2 linked regions of the Yarrowia lipolytica genome follow. The protein of the gene in region 1 interacts with the protein of each later gene in a pairwise test. Links are inferred from orthologs where the notes say so. Each region holds a gene or a part of one and is shown on either strand. Other genes may lie near its edges.

What was found. The genes of interacting proteins can lie anywhere in the genome.
Region 2: the proteins of YALI1_B28053g (region 1) and YALI1_E26930g interact in binary tests that used the Saccharomyces cerevisiae proteins (3 or more experiments, as listed by UniProt). The link is inferred for Yarrowia lipolytica from reciprocal best matches to the Saccharomyces cerevisiae genes ROK1 and OSH3.

Annotation. Positions count from the first base shown.
Region 1 is NC_090771.1:2,802,163-2,809,068, forward strand, and holds YALI1_B28053g (uncharacterized protein), read right to left. Parts: upstream 3,128-6,906; coding exon 1,484-3,127; downstream 1-1,483. Other genes in the region: YALI1_B28025g (uncharacterized protein), read left to right, coding at 382-487, 893-1,203; YALI1_B28084g (uncharacterized protein), read left to right, coding at 6,216-6,818. UniProt on the Saccharomyces cerevisiae protein: ATP-dependent RNA helicase involved in 40S ribosomal subunit biogenesis. Required for the processing and cleavage of 35S pre-rRNA at sites A0, A1, and A2, leading to mature 18S rRNA.
Region 2 is NC_090774.1:2,689,923-2,697,754, reverse strand, and holds YALI1_E26930g (uncharacterized protein), read right to left. Parts: upstream 4,724-7,832; coding exon 2,333-4,723; downstream 1-2,332. Other genes in the region: YALI1_E26971g (uncharacterized protein), read left to right, coding at 627-1,865; YALI1_E26916g (uncharacterized protein), read right to left, coding at 5,550-5,701, 5,971-6,133; YALI1_E26900g (uncharacterized protein), read right to left, coding at 6,550-7,643, 7,700-7,775. UniProt on the Saccharomyces cerevisiae protein: Lipid transport protein (LTP) involved in non-vesicular transfer of lipids between membranes.

The DNA of each region.
Region 1 (6,906 bases):
CATTCACTGGGATGGACGTAATACTGATGACCCTACATACCAACCACAACACTTTTAGGACGTCCTCCACTAATAAAGTGCCTCCTTCGTTGTCCGCTTACGTAATTCGACCCCATCCACACAAATATCAACGCCAGTCGACAATGTCAGCAACTCTTTGTCATGCTGAAACCCAAACACCCATCATTCACCCTTCAAAACATCATTTTCTGACACCACACCATTCCAGCACCCGCGAAATACACTTACCCTAACCCTAAATTTCACAAACAGCTACCCGGCCCCGTGCATTCTGATTGGGCGAACCTCCCAACACTGCGGTAGAAAAACTCTTACATACACAAATCGTCTTGAGAAATCAGCACACCTAAACTACACACAATGTTCCGAAGCAGAGTTTCTGGCGTTTTCCAGCAGGTGCGATTCCAGTCCACCGCTGCCTCCAAGGCTGCCTCCAAGGCCCAGGGTCTCGGAGCCAAGGTCCAGGGTGAGTATTTCTCGAGCTAGGAGACTTTTCGATTTTCCGGCGATAACAAGCAACACAGCTGCGTATATGGGGGTCGGGGATGGACAAGTGCAAGGAGAGTGTGGCACGAGAGTGTCCTGTTTTGATTGGATGTGATTGTGGTGTTTACCGGTGCTACCAGATGGTGTTTCATCAGCTTGACGTGTCGGAAGTTGTGAACGACGACACTAGACACGTGATAGAGACGAGTACACTAGTGCGACATCGTTAGCAGTTCCAGTGTCATCAGCGGCCCACCTCATTGGAATCAATCTCGTTCAGTACTCCGATCAACACCCTATCCACTCCGGGAATCTGTATCTGTTCTACTCCTCGAATCATGCCACTACTCCAAGGCAGTCAACCCCCAACATTATACTAACTCAGGCATCACCAACTGTGCCGTCTACTGGGCCAAGGTCACCGGTGAGCTCGGAAAGCAGATCTACCTCAAGGAGGGCTTTGCTCCCCCCTCTCTTTCTCAGTTCCAGTCTGTCTACCAGAACCTGTTCAACTCCGTCAAGTCTTACGCCCTCAAGCCCCAGAAGGTCATTGACTGTGCTGAGTCCATCACCAAGACTGACGCTCTCCGATACACTGCCTACGGTGTCCAGATCCTCGGTCTCTTCACCCTCGGTGAGGTTATCGGCCGACGAAACGTCATTGGCTACAAGGTCCCCTCTGCTGACAAGCACTAAATTGGACATTAGAAATCCGATTAACATGTAATTTAAAACTGACGCTTTGCGTTTCTATTGAATTGTTCCTGAGTGGTTTTAACGGTGTCGTTTTTCCAGTATCTGACCTATATACTTGTAACAGCTAATTATCTGCCTGTGTGTATGGCTTGCATCGTATGGAAAGTGAAGGGCGTACAGACACAGATCGCACGTCAGCTTTAATACATCTCTACGACAGCTCGCTCCATTTATCTGATGTACATTAGTCTATAGCATGGCCTAGGCGGTCCACAATAACTTATTCGTCGTCCTTCTTCATCTTCTTGAGACCCTTCATCTGCTGTTTGGCCCGCTTCTTCTTGTTGTTAGCCAGAGCATGTTGAGTAGAGATCTTCTTTCGTTTGATGGGTCTGTTTTTGATGTTGTCTCGCTCCTTCTGAGTCAGGGGAGCGAGGTTGTTGAGCCAGTCGGGTACCTCCTGTCCAGACTGCTTCATGACATTGACTACCACCTTGACATTGGTAGCGTCCTCCTTGGTGAAGAAGGTGACGGCCTTGCCGAGTCGGCCAGCTCGACCGGTTCGTCCGATTCGATGCACGTAAGACTGTGCAGACTGGGGTACATCGTAGTTGATGACCAGGTTGATGCCTCGGAAATCGATACCTCGGGCCAGAACGTCGGTACAGATTAGCACCCAGACTTCTCCGTTTCGGAAACGGTCGATGACGGAAGCTCGCTTGGCCGCAGTCATGTCTCCATGGATCTGGTCGACGTTGATTCCGTCGAAAACCAGCTCCTTGAACAGTGCCTTGGCTCGGTCGATGGACTGCAGGAAGATGATGACAGGGGCCACAAGCTGACCCTCTCGGGCCATTTGTCGGATAGCCACAAGCTTACCTTCCTCGTTTCCAGCATACACCAGCTTCTGCTCAACGGTCTGGGCAGCAGCCTGCTTGTTACCGATAATGATACGTAGAGGGTCGGTGCTCATGATACTGTTTGCCAGCTGCTCGACAGAGGCAGGAATGGTTGCGGAGAACAGAGTCTTCTGAATACCCGAGGGGCATGCTGCCAGAATGTCATCGACCTGGGTGGCAAAGCCCTTCTCAAACAGCTTGTCGGCCTCATCGAAGATGACCAGATCCAGGGATCCAAGGTCCAGGCTGCCGTCGTTGAGGGCGGAGACCAGTCTCAGGGGGGTGGTAATGCAAATGTCGTATTTCTGGGAGCTGACTTTTCCGTTTCGCAGCTTGTCGGCCGTGCTCTTGTCCAGCAAGCAGGGTTTCAGCTCGTCCTTCTTTTTTCCAACACCCACGCAGAGCGAGAACACAGCGTTGAAGATCTGAGACGCCAGCTCCTTGGTGGGGGCAACCACCAGTGCCTTGATTCCCTTCTTAGCGTCCTTGGAGCCCTTCTTCTTACCCAGCATCTCCACCATGGGGATGCTGTAGGCCATAGTCTTACCGGAACCAGTTGGAGCACAGGCAATCAGATCTCGGCCGTTCAGCATTGTAGGGATACTCTCGCACTGGATCGGGGTAGGGTCTGTGTACTTGTTCTTCTTGAGGTTGGCCAGAAGATAGGGATGCAAGTTGAATCGAGTGATGAGGTCTTCAAACGACCCAATGGGCAGAGGGGAGTCTTCTCCGGTGATGTTGATCTTGTGCTTGTTTCGGAAAACCACAGCCTCCTCGGGAGTACTGATAATGGGCGGGGGAGCCTCTTCCTCCTCTTCATTGTCCAGCTCAGCCTCCTCAGCTACTCGCTTCTTGGAGTAAGTGTCTGTCTTGGTCTTGAAAAAGTCGGTTTCTCGGGCAACTTCAATGTCGACATTGTCCTGGGTGTCTTTGGGAGCAGCGTGGTTGAGCAGAGTCAGGTCCTTCCTGTGTTTACCGTTTCGCTGGATCGTGGCTCCTCGAGATAGTACTTTGAAGATATCCATGGTGTATGTGGTGAGTGGTAATGTATTTTCACCTGAAAACGATGCTCATGCACTCTCGAGATTTTTTTGTATAAGGTTGGGAGGTGAAACTTAAAACGGCCTATCCTCGCTGAGTAAGTGTTGGGGACTACGGTGGCGAGTATTAGGCGGATTTATTAAGAGAGTACGTAGTTATCAAAAGTGTTTAGTTTCGGCAAATTCTGCATTGTATTATGTGAGCGTTTCTTATCTGCATGTGATATTTTCCAAGTATACGCGATTGCAACTAACAAACCTCCCTGCAGTTATCTGCAAAGGACTTCACTTTTACTTGTAGTTACTTCTCTCAACAAGCCTTCAAGTGAATTACAGTAACGTAACCAATAGCTGGCCTACAGCTACAGTAAGAATCACATTCTTCTAGACCTGCGCCAACGAGATCACGCCACTTTTCCTCTAACCGAGGCTACAGACCCCCGCGGTATCTAACGGCACCAATAGCCGATATCGTCCTTGAAAACCCCTGGTGGACACTTCGTTTTAAACCCTTCTACTCGGGTGGGCTAAAGGCTACAAGATAAGCTAATATAACGGTTACAGAATTGGATCCGAACATTTTACGGGCTCGACAAATGAAAATATTAAATGTACAACATTCCAATTGATGCTATACGGAGTGGGATGCGATAGTCGTCAACTTTGGGATTGTGGGGGCGCGCACCAGCACCTTCTTGGCTCATTTTTCATATATTATTCCTCTATACGGGGCTGATAGACCCTAATGAGTCATATAAGATAGCAGAGCTCTTATGATAGAGCGTTGGATAGCTTGTCTATCGGTTTTCATTAGTAGAATTGTCACGAACACTGTAAAGGCCTCTCTCTACTGCCACAGGGAAATATAACTGCAACAGCTGTAACAAGTCTGCGATCGAATGTCAACTTAGAAGGTAACCCTGTTCGACCCCTTGCGGCCAGTTGAGTTGATTTGAAGCGTATGTTCGAGGACGAGGAGCGGCTGTACAGTACAACTAGTTATACAAGTACTTGTACTCCTCTTCAACCCTTGTCATTGTACAGAGTTATTGTCACTGGGCTGGCAGGCGGTCGGAGACTAAGAAATTATTGTGTGCCAGTCCAGACTATGAGGCTCCTATTTTGAGCTCACAGACTGAGAGACTATTATCAAGTCTGACCAACTAAAAATAGACACAAACTAACTTGAGACCGCCGACCTAGTGGAGCAGCCTCTGATCTTCGTTGTGTAACTTATCCTCCTCAAGATGCTACATTGATTCTGGAAATTAGGGGCCACAGCGCGGTTATGTGGACACCATCTGACAGACACTCCGGAATTTGCACGTGGCGGCAAATCTCGTGTTTTCAAGCAAACTTCTGCACGCTACCGTTGTTCTCTGGTCAACGTTCGTGTTTCATACTGGGCTGTCAGATGGGCTCTATGTTGCCTATTGTACCGTCTTGGAGCTGTCAAACAAATTAGCACTCTTTAGAGGTGTGCTTGTGCGAGCTAGCAGGACAAGGACCGGGGATGATAGCACTATGCTAGTGGGGAGCTCTTTTGTCGGTGATTTGTGTCTACCATACCCATAACAAGCTGGTGCAGTGTCAAAATGGTTTTGGTCTGTGGAAAGCTCCTTGTGTAGGTAAGATTAACCGATTTAAAGGAAGCCTAAAAGTCGGACTACGATGGCCGTGGCGTTCCCCTTCTAAGCCATAAAACCATCCTCTGGACATTCCAGCATTTTCTAATATCATGTAGAGTGCGCCTTGTTCTTGTTTGGGCAAAAGCACAAGGCAAATTGCCTTGGGCGACTTGCGACTCTCCGCTATCTCCAACTGCAGATGTTATGCTGAGGCCTAACTCTGTGGGTGGTATCCCAGATCCTTTCCGAGAGATTAAGTTGGGTTAATCTTTTGTCTTTTGGCAGGGTAATAATGTATACCTGTATGGCGCTCCTCGAGAGAGGCGATCTTCTCGTTAGTTACTCTACCTCATCTTGCTGGTCGAGGTGGGGTGATCCAGAAAAAGAAAGGTTGGCAAATAACTACAGGCAGCAGTGTTTTCACAAACCAAGGAGCAATAAAAAAACGGCCTTCTGCGGCCTAAAACCACCCGTCTTGTTGTTTTAGCACAACCGCCACAGAGCCTGGACTTCCAGGAACTAGCACAAGCACCATACTAAAACACTGGTGCCGTTTTACCAGTACATCAAACACGTCTAAGCGAAGTGGAGGAATGACGAGAAAGGAAGTAATTTTGCCGCTTCGGGCAACTCTCGAGGGTCAACCATATAGGTCGCATGAGAGGCGTTGAATTTTGGCCCTCCACTAGCCCAACTGTCGCACCGCTTAAACTCTCGTATCCAAGACGGTGGAGACGGTTTTTCGCTAGACGGCACGCACAAAGAAAACGGGAGCTGGTTGAAAAATATTTATTATACACACTTTTTGGAGCTTTGTCCTAGTGAGAGAGAAACGCGTCGAGGCATTTCCTTGTCCAAAGGAACGAGACATCAACGTCAGACAGACATTATGGCACAGCTCAGTGGAGACGGTCCCGTATCAAACCTCCTTAATTTTATGTGCATCGGTCGATACTAAGTGCCGATCCCGAAGGTGGAGAAATCAACTTCAACGCTGCCATGCAGGGGTGGTTGAACCACGAAAGCAAATAAAAAGCACGTACAAACGTACCGTACAAACAAGCCCACACAAACATGCCATGTCCATGGTTTGAGACAGTCTTGAGTGATAGGCATTTATTGCTGAGCAGGTAATAAGAGACGTGTGGACTGTAAAGAGAGAACCGACGCCGCCCTTTCTTTGTCCTCCACACTAACATCGTACAGCACTAGCTCCCCTCGATGGACCTTGTACTGGTTTGTTTTGCACAGCTTGTCTTGACTGAGTTTGTCACCCCTCAAAAGCTCCCAAGTTTTGTGCTGAACGTCTTGGGTCGTATACACCGGATATGTAGACCCTTGGCGATGAGTAAATGTATACACGCTTGTGGATATATCGGTCTGTGCCTGTAAGCTGGTGGGGGTTGTCATTATAATATTTTGCCCCGTAATATTCTCCCTGAAATATGAACAACTATTATTATTTCGTCAACGTGAAAATCCGAAATTGTCTCACTCAATTGAAGACACCGGTATTGTCCCTGGTACCTGGTGAAGGGTCCTCGTGCAGTACAGGGTTCCAAGGTAGCTACAGTACTGTACTGTATATGTACATGTTTGTCAGAGTCAGGCGACTCTTAAATTGTTACAAGCTCATAATTGAGTCAGGGTATCTAAAACTTCACCATAAAGCGAACCGTGCAAGATTCGAACCCACGACCGCTCATCATCCGCTCCCAAAAGTCGATTGTCACAATGCCGATTCGTTGCTGTTTGGCTTCACATCGTCGTACAAGTACAGTAGCTACAGTAAACAAACTCAGGAACGATCCACATTTGAAAAACACAGTTGGAAAAAGTGGAGGACACAGAGGGTGAGACCACGGGTCACCACAATCCATTGTGTATGTATATTTACCTGGCAGCGTATACAGACACACTTAATCCTAACCGTGTCACTATGTTCCACTCCGTATTCACAGTCCGCGGTCTCGTCGTCCCGGAGACCACCGACAACTAACACGGCTGAAGTCATAATTAATATTGCTTGCGCATCGAAAGTGACATAAATGTGTATTTTTTGGCGTGCAAGTGGAGGGACACGGGTCTTACAAGCTTGCTGGACGACCGTGCAAACGTAATTATCCGCCCATACAA
Region 2 (7,832 bases), on another chromosome or scaffold:
TGAGATGGATGGAGTCGTTACACGGACGGACGACGTCGGGACACGACAACGACTGGATTCGCATTGTGGCCCTTCATCTCATGCGCCACATCGTTTCCGTTTCATCTCCACGATATCCACTTCACTGCATCTTTTCATGCACACACCCGAGTAACCGCCCTGAGTCATGTACGAGTATGTCATCATCACTCGGATACAACTGGCGCACGGCACAAGGTTTGTTCGGTTGTTATTAATTAGGGATGGCATCATTGGAGAGGAGTGATAAGCCACAGCCCGCAGCAACAACGATGGTAAACAGAGCATGTCACGTGTTATCGATCGATTATCGTAGTCCGAGCACTTGGCGGTCCATATATCGACACTTTGCCCCCCCCCCCCCACGCAAGGTGGTTGTATCTGTTCTTGGACGTGACACGGGCTTGTTGCTCAGGAATAACTTTACTAAAAAACTGCAGTGCATTGTTTGAGGTAACGTGACCTAACATCATCTCGTTTTACCCGTTTGGGAAGCCAAAATTTTAGGGGAAAGATAAGTGGTTGATAAGGAAGAGCGCTCCCACATTCTCAAGCAAGGACAGCAAATGGCACAGTGAAGATTCGCAACTACTTCTACACAGACACAAATGCTACACGAGACTCATCCTTCGCCCGACTATACCAGTATGGGCTCTCAAAGTCGACGCCAGTCTCACAACGGAGGATCGGTTCTGGAGTTGCGACCCACGCTTTCCGGCTCCAGTGGAATCATTGATGAATTCGACGCGTCCGCCAAAAAACATAACAAGAAGAGCCGCGCGCTAAGACGCCGTCGGTGGCGAGTGGGTCTGATTCTGCTGGGATTGGTGGTGCTTTTGTGGGTGGCTTCTGGCTTTCTGGTCAACTCGATCTTCTCCACAGGAGAGTACCCCAAGCCCTACTTCCTCACATATATGAACACTGCGGTTTTCAGCGTTTATTTGATTCCCACCATGTTCCGCAAGGTGCGCGGCAACAAAACAGCGACCCCCGAGTACTCGGTCATTGATGAAAACTCGGACGAGTCGCCCAAACTCACTCCGTTCAAGTCCGTGGAACAACTCACAGGACAGGACGAGGACGAGCTACTGAGCACCAAACAGACGGCCATTCTCTCGCTCCAGTTTTGCATACTCTGGTTCTTCTCCAACTTCCTCACAAACGCCTCTCTCAAATACACTAGCGTCAGCTCGCAGACAATTCTGTCATGCACGTCAAGCTTTTTCACCCTGGTGATTGGATCTGCATTCGGCGTCGAGGCCTTCACAGCCACCAAGCTTCTGGCCCTGGTGTTCAGCATGTGCGGCGTGTTTCTCGTCTCCAAGGCCGATTCCGTCGCTACTCAGACCAGAATGGGTGTCCAGACCAGCGACATTGTTTTTGGGGATCTTCTGGCGCTGGCTGGAGCGGTGGTTTACGGGTTCTACATGACACTGCTCAAGGTTAAGGTCGGGGACGAGTCTCGAATCAACACAAAGATGTTTTTGGGCTTTGTGGGTCTGTTCAACATTCTCCTGTTGTGGCCCACCATCCCTCTTTTGGACTACCTTGGAGTGGAGAAGTTTGGTCTGCCCCAAACGGAGAAAGTGTGGCTCATAGTGCTGGCCAACGCCGCTGCTACTCTGGTGTCCGACTTTTTCTGGGTGCTGGCCATGCTCATGACCTCGCCGCTGGTGGTCACCGTCGGCCTAGGGGCCACCGTGCCTCTGGCCATGGCAGGCGACCTGTTTATCAAACGGTCGCTGCCCTCACTAACATACGTTTTTGGCGCTATTATTCTGTGTCTGTCCTTTGTCGTCATCAATAGACAAGACGAGGACGAGTTGATGGACGACGATGAAGAGTAGTGCTAGCATGATTGCATTTATTTATTAATTTTATGACCTGAAACCTGAGGTGGTTGCAAGTACCAGCACACTGTAGATCGAACGAACTTGCGGGACATAGCCTTCAAGCTTGATATTGATAGAGATAAGACAACAAAGTGTATCGAAATGAGAGTCCTGCCAAGAAGCATATCGCACGAGTCGTGTGATCGAGATGCCTCGATTGTGCTCTCAATGCAGGGGTTAACGAGTGAGTTGAATACTCATGTCGAACACGCAGTGTTACCTGGAAGTTGTTATAGAAGTGTTACCGGAGTAACAACAACAGGCATGGAGCTCTTTAGTAGATGGGCACATGCCACTTGCCCCTTGGAAACAACATATAAATCCCAATTTTTTTACTTGTAGCAACACAATCGCTATAGTTCCACTCTGCTTATCAAAATCATATCTCATTGGTAAATAGTCTACATGTCTAAACTACCAGCCTACCACAAAGGAGTAAGACCCTCCCAGTTGCCCTGCTTTCGTCGGTTCCAGTAGTTGTTGGGACCCTTGGTAAGCAGGTACAGATCGCCCTGCTCGTTGACTCCGTCCAAACCAGACGACTTTTCGAAAAAGGTGGGCTTGTACGTCTTACCCGAGTCCTGTAGCACCTTTCGTCGCTCCCGCTGCTTCTCCTCCAGCTCCTGTTTGCCGGCCTCGGCCTTGTCGGTCTGGCCAGCCTCGTACTCCTTCTGGTCGGGTCGGAACCGCGAGTCGTAAGGGGAAGCGTGTCCTTTTTCGATGGGGGTGACCTCGTTGAGACCGGCGGTGAACTCGGTGAAACCCCACTTCTTGGTGTGGTTGTTGACGAGGTTGCCGACCTTCCAGATGGTCTTCTTCTGACCCTTGGCGTTGTTGAGGGTGATCTGCTCGGTCCACTTACCGGAGGCGAAGCAGGGCAGGTTAGAACCATTAGCTGAAACAGCCTTGATGTTGAGCTCTTCGCTTCGACCGGAGAACATTCCTCCGGCCTTGAACTCGACAATGGCCTTCTCTCCGGTGGAAGAGAAGATGGTGAAGTCGCCAACAGGCTCGGTGTACTTCTCACCAGCCATGATGTTTCGCAGGTACGTGGTGGGGTTGCTCCAGTGGAAAACCTCGCCGGACTGTCGGAACTTAACGACGATAGGGCCCAGGTAGTTAATTTCCATCGACTTACCCCAGAACTTCTGCACGGGCTCAGACGAGTGGGCCACAGACCAGCCATGCTCGGAGTCTACATGCAGAGCCATAACGGGAGGGTGATGACACACTTTTTCAGAGATGAGTCTGTAACCGAGATCGGGTCGAACCAGCTCATAGGTCTCTCCAAGAAGAGGGTTGAAAGGCTTTCGGAGAGCGCGCTCCTTAGCTCGCATGGAGGCGAGGTAGGAGACAGCCCAGGTGGCCACGTAGATGATTCGCTCTCCGTCATTGGCAGGCACGTTTTCAGCCTCGTCCAGCAGCTGGGGGTACTCGAACATCTCGGCGAATCTCTGTAGAGCAGAAATAGGCTCGTTGGTGGTGATGGGGACGGCCATGGAGCCCATATCCTTGCCGACACTCTTCTTGAGGATACCCAACATGGAAGGGGGGGTGGAAGCAGCATCAGGAAGAGTGACTCGGTGCTTGACCGGCTGAACCTCATGCAGTGGGTACAGATCATCAGCGTCATCAGCATCATGGACAACAGGAGCAACATGGTGTCCCTCGTCCTCCTCGTCTGTGGAGTCGTGCTCAGCTCCGTCGTCATCGTCGTCAACAGCGTCGTCGTCCAGGAACACAACTCCGTCCTTGTCGGGGTTCTCCTCAGCGTCGTAGAAAGTGTCATGCTCGGACATGATGGAGCCGTTAAAGGACGCTCGCTTGGCCATGGGCTGTGAGTACATGGCGCTCTCATGAGCAACATGGGACACCACGTCGGTGAACTCGAGATACAGCGCTGCTAGGCGCGCATTGAGGTCCTTGGTCACGTTGGAAGCGCCGGGCTCCTGAGCAGCCACATCGGAAATATCCTTGGTCTCTCGTAGCTTGGCCACAAGCTGAGCAAACTTCTCCTGGTCAGGTGCGGTCACAGCAGCGACTGCGGGAACAGGTTCGTCAGCAGCACCTCCGCTCTTGCCCTTTCTGATCCGCTCAAAGGTGTCGACCCAGATCTGCCAGTCGGCGTCGTTGAGGGCCTTGAGGTTCCACACCTCCATACCCGAGTCCACAAAGATGAGTCTCTGGGCCTTGGAGGCAGAGATGGCACACAAGGTCAGGGGCAGAGAGCCTCGCAACGAGTTGGACTTGGGGTCTGTGTAGTAATTGAGAATGGCCAGCTTGAGATCCAGAACAAAGTACCGTCGGGTGTATCCCTGGAGCTTCTTTCGTCGCTTTTTGAGCAGGATACCGGATACGGCGGTCTCGGAGACAAGGGTATGGGGAGCATTGTTAGCCGCATGTCCCTCTTCCATGGCCTGGACAGTGAAATGGACGGTTTTGGGTGTGGTTTTGGAGAAGGTGTTGTCGAACACAAGGGCGTAGATGCCTCCCTTTCCCTTGGGGACCTTGTAGACTCCCTCGGACTGTTCGTTGGCGTTGCACTTTTTGAGCGGCAGAACAGGGGACAATCCGCTTGATTCAAGTCGTTTTTCGATGGTTCCCGAGTGGGGAGCCGAGATGGAGGCTCGTCGGCCGGCATTGTGTCCTTCAGCCTCGATTTCGACCTGCAAGTTGTTGCTCCGCTCCTTCTCGAAGATGCCCACGTTGATGGACTTTTTCAGGGGGTGAACTTTGAAGGTGATGGCGGAGCCCTCGGGGGCAGTGACCCACTTGATGACAAACGACCGCGAGGCCACTTCGATGGTTTCCATGGCGAGACGGGTTGCAATATGGATTCGGTGGTTAGTTTGAAGGAGCGATTATGTCCTCGACATTATATTGCGGGTTTCAAAGTCTAATTACTGGTTTGCATGGCACATGCTGTTTGCAGGTGATAAACTGGGGATGTGGTGGGGGCTTAGTTAGAGACCATGTGTTGAGTGACGGGCCCTGTGGGATGAACAGTACCACGACTGTGCTGCCGTTGCAGGCGAAGTGGCTTCTACATTTTAGCCAGGGCGATTACACTCACAATGTGACTACTGGAGCTGTACTTATTCCCCACCATCCCGCCAACAAGTGCCATAGTCCAACGAATACGGCCCTCGTGTTCGGGGCTTGTCAGGCTCGGTAACCCAACAAAGCAACTCTATTTGAGCGGGGGTACACCGAAGAGTCTCTTTTTGGCTTTTTGTCTGAATGTGAATATCAGGAACATAAAAGTGACGTAATTCACACGTCTACGACTTGATACAATGACATGGGGTGGGTTCACAATGCAACTGTCAGCGAACCCAGCATTGTCTCACCCGAACACGCAAGGGGCCTCTCTTCTCCACACCTGCAGAAGCGGCTCGAAATAAAGAGATGATAATAATCGACACGGGAATAAATATTAGACGTGCTGTAAATCCGATTCTCTCAACTCCGACTGGAGCTGCATGCAATGGATCGACCTCTGAGCAGCCGTTAGCTTAGACTGCTGCTGTCTGAGGAAGTGTCCACACAGCCATACAGAAAAGCATATATTCTGGGAAATGGCTTGTGGCTCTTTTCCCCGCAGACCAGGGCATGTGAGACTACAATTGTAGGACTCACTCAGACCATGGAGTTGATGCGAGCAAGCCGCGATTCCACCGCCGCAAGCGTCTTGTTGACGCTCTCCAGACGGGCCTCTGCATCCCGGATCTGTGCAGATATGCTAGACACCGCCACCAGGTCCTTGGTGGTTTCCTGGTAGTGTTTTAGAGCTGTGTTAGTGGGAATGAGGGCCCAAGGTCCGATTGGACAATGCCCCATAACGGGTAAGTCATGTCGTATCTTATCGTATCGTATCGTGCTTGCCACAATCACGGTTAGCATTCGATAATTGGTCTGCACGGGCCGCATTGTTGCAAAGGGCGTCGCCATGGTGTCCCTCACTGAATAACCCTGCTCTTGATTGTAAACCACCCCCATGGTACAGTATTGTCAGAAACCACACAACCAAGCCTCTGTCCATGCATCACACCACACTCACATATGCTTAGGCCATGTAACACGGTGGAGAGCACCACCTGGGACTCGTGGATGGCGCGGATTTTCCAGGCTGTTGTGTCGATGGCCGGGTTCAGCGTGTTCTGAACCACCGTGTCCATGTCGCTGCGTAGTGACGCCAAGGCTTCCTCGTTTTCGAGAGACATTGTGTGTGCTAGTAAGTAGAGACAGGAATGATGAATTCGAGTGGTAAATTAATTAGAGATCGCGTACGTAGTGCTGTTAAGCCCTTACCCATGTCGTGCACCATCGCTGCTATCTGATGTTGGGGAGAACAGGAGATAGATATGGAAAATGACTCACGACTGAATAGAAAATGAATATCAGTTGCGACTCTGTGGTTTCATACACAATAACGCAGTTTTGTTGCATTGTTCCATGACCCGCCTTATCGTCGCTTTAGTTAGCTTTACTTGATCTTTGGTCAGCTTACTTGAATCTACAAGCAAGTAGTTTGGACCCACGCACCATAGGAGCCTTTGATCAGTACTCGTTACGACACCTAACAACTGCTTTAAAACAGCTTTGACAGTATTAATACATCCAAAATTCGCTATATACATTATTCCTGGACCTCGAGATCCTTGATGGACTCCTCTCTAAAATGGTCCTCCAGAGCCTCCAACACTGCATCCAGCTTCTTGCCCGACATGACCACGTCCAAGTTACCGCTGTACCCACATCGATGGTCCGTGACTCGGTTCTGATGGAAGTTGTATGTTCGGATCTTGTCAGATCGGTCGGTGGCAGACACCTGGCTGGTTCTTGCGTTCTTGCTCTTTGCAGCCTGTTCGCGTCGCTTCTGTTCAGCCAGACGGCCTCGGAGAATCATAAAGGCCATCTCCTTGTTCTGGCGTTGTGACCGCGAGTTCTGCATCACAACCATTGTCTTGGTGGGGATATGAACCAGTCGAACGGCCGACTCGGTCTTGTTAACATGCTGTCCTCCGGCTCCCTGAGCTCGCATGACATCGATTCGCACCTCGCCAGGAGCAAACTGAATGTCATCAGCAGCAACGGAACTCTCTGATATCTGGGGCAAAACGATAACAGCGGCAGCAGATGTGTGGACTCGTCCAGAAGACTCGGTGACAGGAACCCGCTGGACTCGATGAACTCCTCCCTCATGCTGAAGCATGTTGTAACTTCCCTCTCCGTCTACTGAAAGGATGACTTCAGTAATGCCACCCTTGTCGTTACGAGTCACGTTAGTGATCTGGTACGGCCAGCCCATCTCGTCGGCATAGCCAGTGTACATGTTCAGCAGGTTGTCGGTAAACAAACAGGCCTCTTCTCCTCCAATACCAGGGCGCATCTCGATGATACAGCCGATGTCGCCGTAAGGATGTGTGGGCAGAAGCAAAGTCTCGAGCTTCTTGATAGCCTTCTCAGCCTCAGCCTCGACGGTGGGGATCTCATCTTCAGCATCCTTTTTCAGCTCGGGATCATCGCACATGCTCATGAGCTCGTCGTACTGCACAATCGAGTTTCTGTACGAGTCCAGCTCGTGCGTCACCTGACCAAGCAAGTTGATTTTCGCAATGAGCTTCTTGTCCTTGAACTGGTCCTCGTTAGGGCTCGCCTGAAGAGCCTCGTACTCCTTGTTCATACTCTCTGCCTTGCCAAGCAGGATCGGATGCAGTTTTCGGACCGATGCTGGGTTAGTGGGGCTGTCTTGGGGTGTGGGAAGACACGTAAAAGAACACACTCACTGATGCTGGTGGTGTGGAACAGCCGGACAGACCGCTGCGCCATCCATGGTGCTTTCAACGCCCATCGCAGTTGCATGTTGGTATGATGAATATTCAGAGGTGAAATTTATAAACTTAAAAGTGAGAGAAAGAG